3 linked regions of the Oryctolagus cuniculus genome follow. The protein of the gene in region 1 interacts with the protein of each later gene in a pairwise test. Links are inferred from orthologs where the notes say so. Each region holds a gene or a part of one and is shown on either strand. Other genes may lie near its edges.

Region 1 (4,537 bases):
CTGCTCACCCCCATCCCCCTCCTGTCTGACTCCTGCTCACTCCCATCCCCCTCCTGTCTGACCCCTGCTCACCCCCATCCCCCTCCTGTGTGACCCCTGCTCACCCCCATCCCCCTCCTGTGTGACCCCTGCTCACCCCACATCCCCCTCCTGACTCCTGCTCACCCCCCATCCCCCTCCTGTGTGACCCCTGCTCACCCCCATCCCCCTCCTGTCTGACCCCTGCTCATCCCCCATCCCCCTCCTGTCTGACTCCTGCTCACTCCCATCCCCCTCCTGTGTGACTCCTGCTCATCCCCATCCCCCTCCTGTCTGACCCCTGCTCACCCCATCCCCCTCCTGTCTGACCCCTGCTCACCCCATCCCCCTCCTGTCTGACTCCTGCTCACCCCCATCCCCCTCCTGTGTGACTCCTGCTCATCCCCATCCCCCTCCTGTGTGACCCCTGCTCATCCCCATCCCCCTCCTGTCTGACTCCTGCTCACTCCCATCCCCCTCCTGTCTGACCCCTGCTCACCCCATCCCCCTCCTGTCTGACCCCTGCTCACCCCACATCCCCCTCCTGTCTGACTCCTGCTCACTCCCATCCCCCTCCTGTCTGACTCCTGCTCACTCCCATCCCCCTCCTGTGTGACTCCTGCTCATCCCCATCCCCCTCCTGTGTGACTCCTGCTCATCCCCATCCCCCTCCTGTCTGACCCCTGCTCACCCCATCCCCCTCCTGTCTGACCCCTGCTCACCCCATCCCCCTCCTGTCTGACCCCTGCTCACCCCATCCCCCTCCTGTCTGACCCCTGCTCATCCCCCATCCCCCTCCTGTCTGACCCCTGCTCACCCCCCCATCCCCCTCCTGCCTGACCCCTACTCACCCCCCATCCCCCTCCTGTCTGACCCCTGCTCACCCCAGCTCCCCCTCCTGTGTGACCTCTGACCCCTGCCTGACCCCTGCTCACCGTGCATGCTCCTACTGACTGCTTGAAGCTGCAGCTGCACTTTCTCAGACAACCTCCTTGCCCCCCGACTCCGTGCTGTATGGGGCTGTGAGCCCTGGCTGGGCTGCTGCGGGGTTTGTGGGTCATCCCCACGCTGTCAGGGCAGCTCTGCCTGTCCCCGAGCGGGACCAGAGTCCACTCCGCAGCGGGCAACACTGCCCCACGTGGGAGGACGGGCGCCTGCCGTGCCGTCACGCACAATTTCCGAGTGCCCGGCCAGTTCTTTAGGCTGCACACGCGTGTGATTTTCGGAGAGCGTCTTCTTCAGACCGCAGGCAGAGGGGCCGTGCGCGCCTGCCCTGCACGCGCCCACGCCCATGGGGTCCCTGGGCCGGGCCTGCTTCCAGAAGGCCTCCGACACAAGAATCTGCCTCACTGTGTCCACAAGGACGACCACCGTGGCAGGGAAACGCCTGCCACACACAAGTCCAGCTTGTCTCGTGCCCCTGTGCAAGGACAGTGTCAGAGACAGAAGCGCTGCTTTCTCTGGTGGAATCTCACCTCGCAGGTCGCGTTTCTCCTCGTCAAAATAACCCCGCCCCCTAGCAGCAGCTGCCTGGGCCATCAGGGGTCCTGAGATGCCCAAGAGGACCAGGCGCGTGTCCGCTGAGCCCGAGGAAGCTGGAGGGAGCTGAGCTGGAGAGCCCACAGGGGAGGGCAGGGCCAGAGGCTGCGGGGGCTGCGGGAGCAGCAGACAGAGCGCCTGGCTCTACCTGGCCACACGGCCACTCCCCTGCCAGGGCTCAGGGACCCTGGGCACATTCGACATGATTCAGAGCACCAGGGCCAGACGCCGGCCACACAACAGAGGCTCGAGGTCAGACTGACCGGGGCCTTCGAGACCAGCTGAGAAAGGGCTGCACGGCGGCCTCCCGCCCCAGGCTGCACCGCCCTGACCATGCGCAGACCCGAGAAAACGTCACAGAAACCCCAAGTGAGGGCCTGACGCCGTGACAGAGCCACACCCCTCAACACCACCAGGGCAACCGAGGCCCCAGCGCGGACGGCGGCAGTGACCGCCGGTCACCAGGAGCCGGGCGCCGCGGCCCTCGGAGGACGCCGGCTGCAAGGCTCTCGGCTCGGGGCAGGGCAGTGACGCGGGCGCTGGCAACGGCGGAGGCGGGCGAGGGGTTCACGGAAGCCCCTTGTACTATTTCTGCAACTTGTTTCTAAGCTAAAATCAGTCCACAACACAGCTCTAAAGGCGGCGTGCCGGGGGTCCACCCTCAGCGACGGGCCCGTCACCTCAGGAAACGATGCGTCCTTTCCGAGCCTTAGTTCCCGCATTTTGGAGATGAGACCGAAGGCGTGCACTGGCGGACACAGGGAAGACCCGGAGGAGCCTGTGGGGCTGCCAGCTGGGCCCTGCTGGGTCTACAGCAGACGGCCCTCCGTGTGCCCACCGCTAGGTCTCTAGCTCACAAATAAGCCTGCACCACCGCTGAACCAGAAACAGGGAAGAGCAGTAAAGGGGCCGTGAACCTGGGTTCCACCTCCCAGCAGCCGGGGCCTCCTCTTCCCGCCCCACACTCCACCCTCCTCTGGAGTCACAGGTCGGCCCCTCAGCTGACACCCACTCCAGGGCTGCAGCAGTCTGGCCCCTCCCACCCCAGACCACTTGCACACAAAGGCTGCTGGGCTCCGGCCTGTGCTGCTCCTAGGCACGACATCCCTGTTTGCTCCACAGGGCTCTGAGCCTCAGTGCACGGGGCAGCTGGTCCAGCAGGCACAGTCCAGGGGGCTGGTCTCTGCAGCTCCCCCATGCCACGGGGTGTGCGCATGAGCGGCACCTTAATAAACAGAACCCATCTGCAGAGTCCCGGGCCAGGCGTCTCCACCTTGGCCCTTGACTCCTGGGCTGGAACGTTCTCTGCTGTGGGAGGGGGCTGTCCCGGAGCAGCACCCCTGGCTCTTACCCACTAGACACTAGCAGCAAGCCCCGCCCTCCACAGCAAGTCTGGTGAGCCGAAGTATCCCAGCATTTGTCCACACGCGCGTTCCGGGCAAATCGTCTTAGCTGACAGCCTGGTCTTGGGCTGGAAGGCACTGCAGGGGGAGCCGGTGCCTGGAGGCACGACCAGGTGTCACAGCAGCTGCGGCAGCCGCAGGAGCGCGACTTCCCAGGAGCCCTTCCCCACCCTGACCCCTCTCGCTCTGCGAGTCCAGGTCTGGCATCCCAGGAGCCCTTCCCCACCCTGACCCCTCTCGCTCTGCGAGTCCAGGTCTGGCATCCCAGGAGCCCTTCCCCACCCTGACCCCTCTTGTTCTGCGAGTCCAGGTCTGGCGTCCCGGGAGCCCTTCCCCACCCTGACCCCTCTCGCTCTGCGAGTCCAGGTCTGGCGTCCCGGGAGCCGCGGCTCTCAGCTCTCTTCACTGGGTGCTGCGCTGCTCACCTTCGGGGGCTTGAAAGGGTAGTCCGTAGGGAAGTGGATGGTCAGGAAGAAAAGCCCTCCTTGGTAGGGACTGTCCGTCTGCAAGGAGACACAGGGAGATCAGTGGCCACGCCACGCACAAGGACGAGGCGCAAACTGGAGCTCAACGTACCGGGCCCATGATGGTGGCCTGCCAGTGGAACACTGCAAGACAAAAGAGAGACGGCACGTGAGGCCCAGCTGGCAAGTGGGCTCTACCGCCAGGCCCGCCCTCACTTCCGACGCCAGGCAGGAGTGGGGTTCCCTGAACCACCCGTGGGACCAGTCACTCACTCGACCTCCCCGAGCTGACAGCGGCTGCGCTCACCCCGGGCTCACTACAGGGAACGACGCAGAGGAGCATGGGGGGGCCAGCTGCACAGCCTGCGTCACCTTCGGCCCGTGAGGCCAAACTGCTGACACCGACAAGCAGGGCCACTCGCGCTGACCGCCGAGTGCAGGCCCTCCATGGACCAGGCCATCGCCACAGGCCACACGCTGGCCCGTCTACCCTAAGTCTCCCCGCTGGTGGGGGCCGAGGTCCCAGGCAGCCAGACGCTGCTGTCAGGAGAAGCCTCTCGGAGCCACGCCCAGAGTCTGAGGACGCTCGGCCCCTCTGCAGGGCACCGAAGCCTCAGCCACTCTGCACGCGGCTCGACAACCCCTTCCCTCCCCTGGCTTCACTCGGTTCACTCGAAGCCCCCTCCCAGGAGTCCCTCTCAGGATCTGACTGCCCATGGCCATGGGGCCTCCCAGGGCCACCCCGCCTGCGTCCTCTCTGGCTCACCCGGACTCGGGGACCAGGCGAGAGGAGACCTCTCCCTGCAGCAGCCAGGCTGGGCTCCCCCACGGGTCAGAGCCTTCTGGGCATGACACCTCCCGCTCCTCCGCGGGGTCTCGGGTCGGCACTGCTCTGCCCAGCCCAGAGCAGCTCCCGTGCGCTCCCTGGCTCCCACGTCTGAGAGTCCCGGGCAGTGGGTCCACAGCCTCTGGGGAAATGCTTCTCACTGGACTCAGGACGGGCGTGGAATCGGCGCGAGGCTTCAGGCTTATTGTGGCCTGGGCTTCCCATCACCAATTCAAATACCCGACCAGCTCCACCCGTGACAGCGGGACCAGGAGGGCGCTGGGGCG
Region 2 (4,537 bases), on another chromosome or scaffold:
TGTCAGCACTGGAAGCTGAATCACAATGCTAACCCTTAAAGAATAACTTAAAAAAAAAGCATACACAAATAAAACATGTTATATTGAGTTTTGGGCCAAAATTAGCCTACAATATCTTGAAAAATCAAAAGATTTGGGGCTTGCACTGTGGTGCAGCAAGTTAAGCCACTATCTGCAGTGCCAACATCCCATTTTGGCGCTGTTCTGAGTCCCAGCAGCTCCACTTCCGATCCAGCTCCCTACTAATAGCCTAAGAAAGCAGCAGACGATGATTCCAGTGGTTGAGCCCCAGCATCCACATGGGAGATCTGAATGAAGCTCCTGGCTCTGGCCTGGCCCAGCATTGGTCATTGTGACCATCTAGGGAGTAAACCAGCAAATGGAAGATACCTTTCTCTCTCTTCCATTTTCTCTGTAACTCTAACTTTCAAAATAAATAAATCTTAAAAGAAAAAAAAAAGTGTTTTACAGTGCTCACAGAGCATGTAAAAGATAAATAATGGTACCCAAAGACAGCTAGAGCCTAGTCTTTTCTTTTTTAAAGAATTATTTATTTATTTGAAAGGTGGAGTTACAAAGAAGGAGAGATAGAGAGAGATCTTCTACCAGCTAATTCACTCCCCTAATAGCTGCAACAGCCAGGGCAGGGCCAGGCCAGGCCAGGCCAGGCCAAAGCTAGGAGCCAGGAGCTTCTGCTAGGTCTCCAGTAGGTACAGGGGCCCAGGCACTTGGACCATCCTCTGCTGCTTTCCCAGGTGCATTAGCAAAGAGCTGGATCAGAAGTGGAGCAGCCAGGACTGACTTGCACCCACTTGCGATGCCAGCACTACAGGCAGTACCTTAACCCACTGTGCCACAGCACCGGCCCCAAGCGAGTTGTTTAAATTTTTTTAATTTATTGTTTGAGAAAGAGAGGGGGATAGACGAGAGTGAAAGAGTATGAGCTTCCAACTGCTTGTTCACTCCGTAACTGCCCACAACAGCCACAGCTGGGCCAAGACAAAACAGGAAGCCAGGAACTCAATCCAGGTCTCTCATTTGAGGGGCAAGGGCTCAACTATTTGAGCCATCATTTGTTGCTTCCCAAGGTATGCATAAGCAAGAAGCCTCTCTGATACAGGATACAGGCGTTCAATCAGCAATTTGACTGCTAGGCCAAATGCCTGGTCCCAGTGAGCATTTTTGTTAGACACAATTATCCAAGTCACAGATTAAGTTGCAAGTTGATAGGGTAACTCCATAGTGTCAAGTGCCAAAGCCCCCCTCCATTGTTATTCTATCATTTGCATGGTTTAGGATATATTTTTGAACAAGCATAATCTTAAAGAAATGGAATACTACCTAAATACTTTTGTAAACTGCTATGTGCACTTTGAAAAGCATCACACAGGCCATCATAATACTGACAGCAATTCAATGCTGACGGCACTGAGCAGCCTAGGCTCCATTTTCTGTACTGAAACACTCACCTGGTCAATTTAACAGTGTTGTCCAGGGAAGCAGAGAGCAGCAAGCCTTTGGATCGGGGGTTGAAAGCCAATCCACGTATCTGTTTGCCATGCATTGGAATGTACTGACTACTTTTCATGTTGGCTGTACTCAGCATCCTAACACCAAAGCCTGATAAAGAAAAGACAATATGAAATAGATTGTTGAAAGCCAACGTAGGGCAAAGGATGTACCTGTCATAGTATGTAAACTCCCAGGAATCAGCGGATCAACGAAAGTAAGAATTCCTCAGTGTTATAATTTATTTTAAAAGGTATAATTTGGGGGCCGGCGCCGTGGCTCAATAGGCTAATCCTCCACCTTGCGGCGCTGGCACACCGGGTTCTAGTCCCGGTCGGGGCGCCGGATTCTGTCCCGGTTGCCCCTCTTCCAGGCCAGCTCTCTGCTATGGCCAGGGAGTGCAGTGGAGGATGGCCCAGGTGCTTGGGCCCTGCACCCCATAGGAGACCAGGAAAAGCACCTGGATCCTGGCTCCTGCCATCGGATCAGCGCGGTGCGCCGGCTGCAGCGGCGGCCATTGGAGGGTGAACCAACGGCAAAGGAAGACCTTTCTCTCTCTGTCTCTCTCTCTCACTGTCCACTCTGCCTGTCAAAAAAAAAAAAAAAAAAAAAAAAAAGGTATAATTTGGGGCCGGCGCTGTGGCTCACTTGGTTAATCCTCCGCCTGCGGCACTGACATCCCATATGGGCGCCGGGTTCTAGTCACGGTTGCTTCTCTTCCAGTCCAGCTCTCTGCTGTGGCCTGGGAGGGCAGTGGAGGATGGCCCAAGTGCTTGGGCCCCTGCACCCACATGGGAGACCAGGAAGAGGCACCTAGCTCCTGACTTCGGATCGGCGCAGCACCAGCCGTAGCGGCCATTTGGGGAGTGAACCAATGGAGGGAGGACCTTTCTCTCTCTCTCTCTCTCAGTCTATAACTCTACCTGTCAAATTTAAAAAAAAAAAAAAAGGTATAATCTATTCTAAATGTCCATCAATAGATGAATAAACAAACCTATTGTATATATACAAAGCAATGAACTCCCGATACACACAGTAATATGGACAAATCTCAAAAAACTAATTTCTTTCTAAGAAAAAAGCAAGGAAAATAGTAATACAGAGGACCAGCACCGTGGCAAGTTGGTAAAGCCTCTGCCTGCAGCACTGACATCCCATACAGATGCTGGTTCATGTCCCAGCTGCTCCACTTCAGATCCAGCTCCCTGCTGATGGCCTGGGAAAGCAGTGGATGATGGCCAAAGTACTTGGGCTCTGGCACCCAAGTGGAAGACCTGGAAGAAGCTCCTGGCTCCTGCCTTCGGAAAGGCCCAGCTCTGGCAGTTGTGGCCATTCAGGGAGTGAACCAGTGGATGAACGACCTCTCTGTCTGTAACTCTGCCTCTCAAATAAATAAATAAATCTTGAAATAAAAAAGTAATACAGAATCATTTCATTTGTATAAAATTCTAGAAAATGCAAACTAATTTATAATGATTAAAGGCAGATCAGTGGTTGCCTGGGAATGTATCAGTGTATAACATTCCTGGGAGGGAGATAATAAAATGTCCTTTATTGTTACTCTGTTCTCTCACCAGGCTGTAACAACACATTCTATTATTATCTGAGTTATATAAAAACAGAATCTGTCAACTTTTAGATTCAAGATAGCCTTGAATCTCACTTCAGCTATTACAGGGAACCAAGCAGGATGAAGTTTATTGTGTTGTCTCCTGGAACAGAATTAGGAAAGCCAGAGACAAACAAGGGAACCATAGGCTTTAAATCAACAAGGGAATCTGACCACCTACTTAGTTAATCATTAAGAAGAAAAAGGACACATTAGCACCAGCCTGCTATGAAGAAGTTTGCTCTAACAATGAGAATAGACACATTAAGAGAAAGGGATTGGGGACTATCAAAAGAAAAAGTATTTTCCAATTTATGGCAAACTTTTACTTGACGATAAATCTTCTTTATTGGGATATAAGGAATACCATAAACAATCCTTTTACTTTCCCTTAAAATGAGAGGCTATCAGGAGCATCCAACTCATAGCTTATCTCAACCAATACAGAAACACGTCAAATTAGGGATTCCATTCTCGAACTTGTTTATATCTAGATTTAGGGACAAAGCTTTTAAGTATTTGAATGGAACTTTAAAAATTATCTATTAATTTGAGAATCAAAGAGATACAGAGACAGAGCCCCCATCCACTGATTTAATCATCAAGTGTCTGCAGTAGCCTAGGTTGGGCTGGGGCAGAAAGTGGGAGCCAGGGACTCAATCCAAGTCTACACGGGAGGTGGGAGCAACCCATCACTTGAGACATCACCACTGTCTTCCAGGGTCTGCATTAGCAGTCAGGAGCCAAGGCCAGGAATCCAACTGTGAGATATGAGACAGGCTTTTAAACTGCTGGGCGAAATGTCCACTTGAGGGAAACTTCTAAGTGGGGAAACAGAATAAATCAGGCTGAAGTAAAGGGACTTTACAGTTGCTGCTGTTGTGGTGCAATGGGTTAAGCCGCTGCTTAGGACACCACCATCCCATATCAGAGTGCCAACTCAAGTTGCTTCACTACCAAAATGCAGCAGAAGATGGCCCAAGTACTTTACTTGGGTCCCTGTTACCCACATGGGAGACGTGAATGGAGTTCCAGGATCCTGGCTTCAGCCTGGCCTAGTCCTGAATGCTGTGGCCATTTGAGGAGTTAATGAGTGGATGGTATTTCTTTCCTTCTCTGTGACTCTGTAAGTTGAATGGAATATATAGAGAGTGATGGCCTTCTCCTCAGATTATTATAGGTGGCCGAGGCTTCTAATACCACATCTCCCACTTTACTATGATTATTAGTATTTCTACTCCTTTGGTGAACAAATTTACAGACTGAAGGCAGTAGACACTAAAGACTTCCTGATTAATAGGAAGCTGAAAGGAATGGGTAATTTGGTGGGCTGCTGAGTCCTAGAATCTTCAAAAAGGGAGAGGAGAAAAACAAGTGGAGTCCAACGATGAATGCGAAGGGTGAGGTCCTGGCATCTAG
Region 3 (5,288 bases), on another chromosome or scaffold:
GCCTGCTGAGTCTCACGGACCCCAGCCTCTCCGACGACCGGCTCAACCACCTGCTGAGCGTGGCCCCGCAGCAGAGCCTGGTGCTCCTGGAGGATGTGGACGCGGCCTTCCTCAGCCGGGACCTGGCCGCAGAGAGTGAGTGACGGGAGCTGGAGGCAGGGGGGTGGCCCTACGTGAGGTACAGGAGTAACCGAGGAACAGGAGGAGAAAGTAGGGACCCAGAGCACGCTGATGGAGGAAGCGTGTGCTAGCAACAGGGGCCCACGGGTGGTCAGGAAGTGAGTGGAGGGATGCTCATCCCTCGTGTTTCTCTCTTCCTTCCCCCAGACCCAGTCAAGTACCAAGGCCTAGGCCGCCTCACCTTTAGCGGACTTCTCAATGCCTTGGATGGCGTGGCTTCCACTGAGGCACGCATTGTGTTCATGACCACCAACCACGTTGACAGGTGAGGGGAGGGGGCACCACCCCGAGTGCCTCAGGAGGGTCGGGAAGGCGAGTTTTTTTTCCGATGCAGCAGCCTATGACTCTGCTTCCCCTGCCTCCTCCTAGACTGGACCCTGCCCTCATCCGCCCTGGACGAGTCGACCTGAAGGAGTACGTGGGCTACTGCTCACACTGGCAGCTGACCCAGATGTTCCAGAGGTTCTATCCAGGGCAAGCACCTTCCTTGGCCGAGACCTTTGCAGAACGTGTCCTTAAGGCTACAAACGAGATCAGCCCTGCCCAGGTACAAGGCTACTTCATGCTGCATAAAAACGATCCTACAGGGGCGATCCACAACACTGAGACCCTGAGGTGACTGAGAGGCGGTGTGCAGCTCTGCCCAGCCAGGACTCCAATAAACACGGCCCACACTCCCCTGGTCTCTGAGCTCCCTTGCTTCCTCCCTGGACTGTGCCTGCTAGAGCAGGGGCTGCGATCGCAGGGCCCGCAGGGTCAGGCCACCACGGAGACAGATGATGGGGACACGTGCCTCCACCTAAAGGCATCCAAACTAAGTACATGTGTGATGTGCGTACCTATGCAGTGAGTTACATGTCAGGGTGGTCTCTGCCCAAGTGTTGACATCTCGCTAGTGGGCAGAGAACAGACTTCGAGCCAAGTTGGGGGCCACCCTGCCACAGCCCAGTCTTGTTAGGAATTTACAAAGAGCCATACTCCACAGGCTAGGCACTGCTGAGCAAAGAAAGCCAAACAAGGCCAAGTCTCTTTATTGCCCCCCCCTCCCGTGCCCCCTGCCCCCACCCAGTAGCGCTAGGACCCATCCTCAGATTCCAGGCCCACAGGTTCCCGCCGAGTGCCAGCACAGTACGCTCCCTGGCCCCGAGGCAGGCGGGGGTACGAAGAGCCTGGTGTCCGACCTCTAGAGCGCTCCCAGCGGGCACAGTCCCGAGTCCTGCGGGACGGGGGCCCCTGCCAGCTGCCAGGCCCCTTCTCTTGGGGAGGACCTTCGACCCCTGGGCTGTGGGGCTCCGGCTTTAAATCCGTGGGTTCCTTGAGGGCTCCCTCAGGGAGTGGCAGTTCCTGGGCGTCTCTGGTCCCCTTGGGGGCTCGGCACTCCCCTCCCTTCAGGTGCTTCCGATTCGACTGTCGCCAGGGGCCCCGACTGGGCCGGGGGGTATCTAGCATAGCTTTTTGGGTCTCACCCAATCTCTGGTTCGGCCTGGCCCCGGAAATCTTTTCACACACGTGCTGGGTGGCCCCCGGCAGAGGACTTGGCAGGGTGGGCTGGGCAGCTGGTGAGGCAGACTGGTCTGCGGCAGGGGCCCCGGGGAGGTGCGGTCCTCTGGAGACCTCTCCAGTTGACTCTGGCTCCAAAGGGGCAGGAGGCTGGAGAGGGGGGAGGAGATGCAGGACTGCAGGCCCCCTCGGCCATCGCCACCCTCCATCAGCTGATGGCCGCCTGTGCTCTCGGCCACCGCTCACCCCAGGGCCGCGGCAGAGGGGGACAGCCTGCTCTCACCTGCTGAAGGCTGATGAAGTACCGGTTCCGCTCCGCCTCCAGGTCAATGATGCCCCCCCGCGCCTGCTGCCGCTGGTAGAGCCGCTTGAGCTCCTCTTGCTGCAGCAAGCTCTCCGCGCTGGGCTGGTACAGCTCCTGGAAGGACACAGGAGACTGGCAGGAGACAGCGGGCACAGGGCGGCGGACTCCCGCCCCTTCCTGTCTAACCGCCTCAGGACACCCGTGCCGGGTCTTGGTTTTGGCCCCCCAGAGGCAGGATCCCAGGAGGGCCTTGGGCAGCTCAAGCTCCATTCCAGGCACTGTGTGCACTTGAGGTGAGATGCCCTTCCCCCCCCCCGTCAGAGGACACCCTCACTCCCGGCTCAGAGTAGCAGGACATGCTCTCACCAGCGGCTGCTGGGGCTCAGGGGCTGCCTGCAGTGAAGCCAGATCGTACACAAGAGGCTCTCTGCACACGGGGCACTGCACACCGAGCGCCGTCTAAGAAAGAGGAGAAATCACAGGTCTGCTTCGTGGTCCAGAGCACAGGGCTGGCACAGAGCCGCAGCTGCCTATCGAGAGGCCTGGGCACCCCCTGCAACTGCATGTCATACGGATGTGGCTTTGGGGACAAAGAGAGGAGATTTCATTCACCTCAGGGGTCCCTGGGACCCTAGAAAGGGGAAGAGCCCCTGCAGTGGGGGGACAGGAAGGACTGGACATCCACAAGTGAGGATGTCAAGCGAGACAAGGGGGGGGGGTGACACCTACCTGCTTGGCTGCAGCATGCTGCCGCTCCTGCTCCTGGCCTTGCGCCTTCAGCTCTTGCTCCATGTGCTGGATGTAGCGAGCCAGGCAGTGGCAGTGGAAGTAGTGGTAACAGGCTGTTTTGGTAAAGGCCTCCTTCTCCTGGAGGGGGGAGGAACGGGGGGCACCGCATCAGTGCACTCTCACGTGCCCTCGTCTGCCGGGCCCCAAGAGATCCCAGGTCCCCACTGAGAAACGCACCTGGAAACCATAGAGACAGATGACACACTGGCCATGGGGGATGTTGTTATCTGTGAGGATTTCCTTGCCTTTCTGAGGGGAGAGAAGACACTGCTGAGACAGTGAGGTGTGGACTCGCACCGGGAGCCGGGCCTGTCCACCGCTGCAGGAGCCCTGGCTGGACTCGGCACCCACCGAGCCAGCTTGTTCCCTCATGTTCGTGCACTTCTGTCTTGGTGATGTTCCCTCGACTAGGAATCAGTCCTGTCCCATGTCCCAGCTCGTCCCCCCAGATTTCCCCTTCCTGGCTTTCAAAATCCAACTTAAAATTGTTTTCCCTCTCATGAAGTCACTTTTATTAAATCTTGGGGGTGAAAATAATAGACATTGGAGAGAGAAAATGTCCAGTTTAAACTCCTTTTCTGGGGTGGGGTCTTTCTTGATGAACCCCCTTTGGGCTCCAGTCCCCCATGGGGCGGTGACTTTGCTCTGGAGAATTTAAAAGGCATCAGGTTGGGCTGTGAAATACACATTTCATAGCCAACATGCTGGCATTCCACCAAGTTCAAAGCTGCATTGTGGACGCTTGACCTAGCAGTGCTGCAGTGGTCTAATAAGCCTACTTGCTCTGACTCCAGCCACCCTCCTAACTTCGACAGTAGAAGAGAACAAGGCTGTACTTGCATGTTTGAAATCTGAAGCAGAATTTTTCTATGTAACTCTGGGTGCGCGGGTTCCTCCTTAACCAGGATATAAAGCCCTATCTCCGCCATGACTGCTTCTGGTCGGTTCTGCCGCCAGGCTAGCCTTCAGGTGTTCATTTATGGGTCAGGCTGCCTCGGCCCAGCAAGGTCCCTGTCTTCCGCCACTTGCGGTCGCCAGTGTCAAGAGAACAAGAAACACGCTAACACTGGAGTAAAATGCAAGTTACAGAGGAGAGAACGTTTTCTGTTGAGATGCTGGAATGGGCAACTTGAGTTACTGTTTTCTGGGGAGATTTTACTTCTTTAAATGAAAGAGTTCCATATTTCTGGGCTAATTTAGGCCTCACCTTCAACAAGGACTACATGAATGACTCCAGATGTATTTTAAGATTCTAGGCCTACGGCTTCCCTCGAGAGAAACTGGGCTAGCTTAAAGGGAAAGACCAGCGTACCTCTTACCTCAATGAGCTCATAGAGCATGGCAGTGCCCAGCCCGGCCTTGGCCACGCTGCCCAGTGCCTGTGAGATCCTGCAAGAAGAGGGCAAAGCCAGTATTCAGCCTGCCTCCCTCCCCGGGCAGAGCTGTGTATCAAGGTGTCCCTCCTCTGACCGGCCGAACTTACTTGTGGATCTGTTCATCTGAGAGCCCTCGGGGGTTACGGATAGAGATCTCTGGCACTTCATAGGGATACTAGTGGGGAAAAGAACAAATTACCGCTGACGTGATCCACCCGGCAACTCTCCCTTTCCTCCCCTTGCTGCTGTGCGGTCGGGGCCCACCTGTGCCGGCACGCGCAGCACCAGCGTGAGGCAGACGTATTGTGAGTCTTGGTCCTCTGCGGTGGCAGGGTGCAGCGTGATGAGGATCTCCCATGGTGAGGATCTGCAGGTGGAAGAGGTGGAGACCCAGGGTGTGACTGGGCAGGGGCTCCAGGACTTGGGAAGATAGGGGTGAGACAGAAAAGTGGGCAGCGGCAGTAAACATTGAGCTTTCTTTCTGGAGGATTGAAGGAATAGCCTTTGTCTACACAAAGGAAACCTTTGAATAGGGGCTCAGTGTCTTGGGAACAGAAGCTGCACAGAATCCTGCCATTACTGAGTGGACTGCTGCCCACCCCTAGTTGAATACATACCTGCCACTTCCTTTAATCACTTGTAGTTCATCCAGATAGATAGATTCTAACACTTCGACTTCAGAGGGAAGGACCCTAGAGAGACAGGGAGAGACTGACTCACCATTAGAGCTCTCCCCGCTGAAGCCAGCTAAGGCCGATGAAGGCTGGCTTCGTAGGAAAACGGCCATCTGCCTGGATGTATTCTCTGGCTAAACTTATTTAAAATGAGAGAAATCTGTTTCCGGAGTTGGCAAGTGGCCAAGTTGGAAGCATGGGGATTTTACAGGTCATTTCTGCCAACAGACAAGGAAACAGATTTCTAGAAGTGAAATGACTAACCAAGGCTTAACAGCTGGGACACGAGCCAGGTTTCCTGATTCTGTTTCACTCTATGGTTGGTTATCCCTTGTTGACCATCTCTCTGGTCCAGAAACAGGGCATCCATCCATGGGCATCAGCTTTCCACTGCTGCTCCTGTCTTTTCCTTTGGCACTGTTGAGCATGGATCCAAGTGCCTGGCTACTGTCTATACACTGCCAA

Evidence for each region.
Region 2: the proteins of UBE2D4 (region 1) and RFWD3 interact in a two-hybrid assay, tested with the Homo sapiens proteins (2 studies listed by BioGRID and IntAct). The link is inferred for Oryctolagus cuniculus from reciprocal best matches to the Homo sapiens genes UBE2D4 and RFWD3.
Region 3: the proteins of UBE2D4 (region 1) and RNF25 interact in binary tests that used the Homo sapiens proteins (3 or more experiments, as listed by UniProt). The link is inferred for Oryctolagus cuniculus from reciprocal best matches to the Homo sapiens genes UBE2D4 and RNF25.

The regions. Positions count from the first base shown.
Region 1 is NC_091447.1:51,537,201-51,541,737, reverse strand, and holds part of UBE2D4 (ubiquitin-conjugating enzyme E2 D4), read right to left. Parts: intron 3,569-4,537; coding exon 3,537-3,568; intron 3,464-3,536; coding exon 3,386-3,463; intron 1-3,385. UniProt on the Homo sapiens protein: Accepts ubiquitin from the E1 complex and catalyzes its covalent attachment to other proteins. In vitro able to promote polyubiquitination using all 7 ubiquitin Lys residues, but may prefer 'Lys-11' and 'Lys-48'-linked polyubiquitination.
Region 2 is NC_091449.1:57,217,885-57,222,421, forward strand, and holds part of RFWD3 (E3 ubiquitin-protein ligase RFWD3), read right to left. Parts: intron 1,621-4,537; coding exon 1,470-1,620; intron 1-1,469. UniProt on the Homo sapiens protein: E3 ubiquitin-protein ligase required for the repair of DNA interstrand cross-links (ICL) in response to DNA damage. Plays a key role in RPA-mediated DNA damage signaling and repair.
Region 3 is NC_091434.1:20,769,386-20,774,673, reverse strand, and holds the end of RNF25 (E3 ubiquitin-protein ligase RNF25), read right to left. Parts: intron 4,842-5,288; coding exon 4,767-4,841; intron 4,517-4,766; coding exon 4,414-4,516; intron 4,325-4,413; coding exon 4,257-4,324; intron 4,163-4,256; coding exon 4,093-4,162; intron 3,041-4,092; coding exon 2,951-3,040; intron 2,852-2,950; coding exon 2,714-2,851; intron 2,444-2,713; coding exon 2,351-2,443; intron 2,099-2,350; coding exon 1,964-2,098; intron 1,831-1,963; coding exon 1,255-1,830; 3' UTR 1,175-1,254; downstream 1-1,174. Other genes in the region: BCS1L (mitochondrial chaperone BCS1), read left to right, coding at 1-135, 328-445, 550-799. UniProt on the Homo sapiens protein: E3 ubiquitin-protein ligase that plays a key role in the RNF14-RNF25 translation quality control pathway, a pathway that takes place when a ribosome has stalled during translation, and which promotes ubiquitination and degradation of translation factors on stalled ribosomes.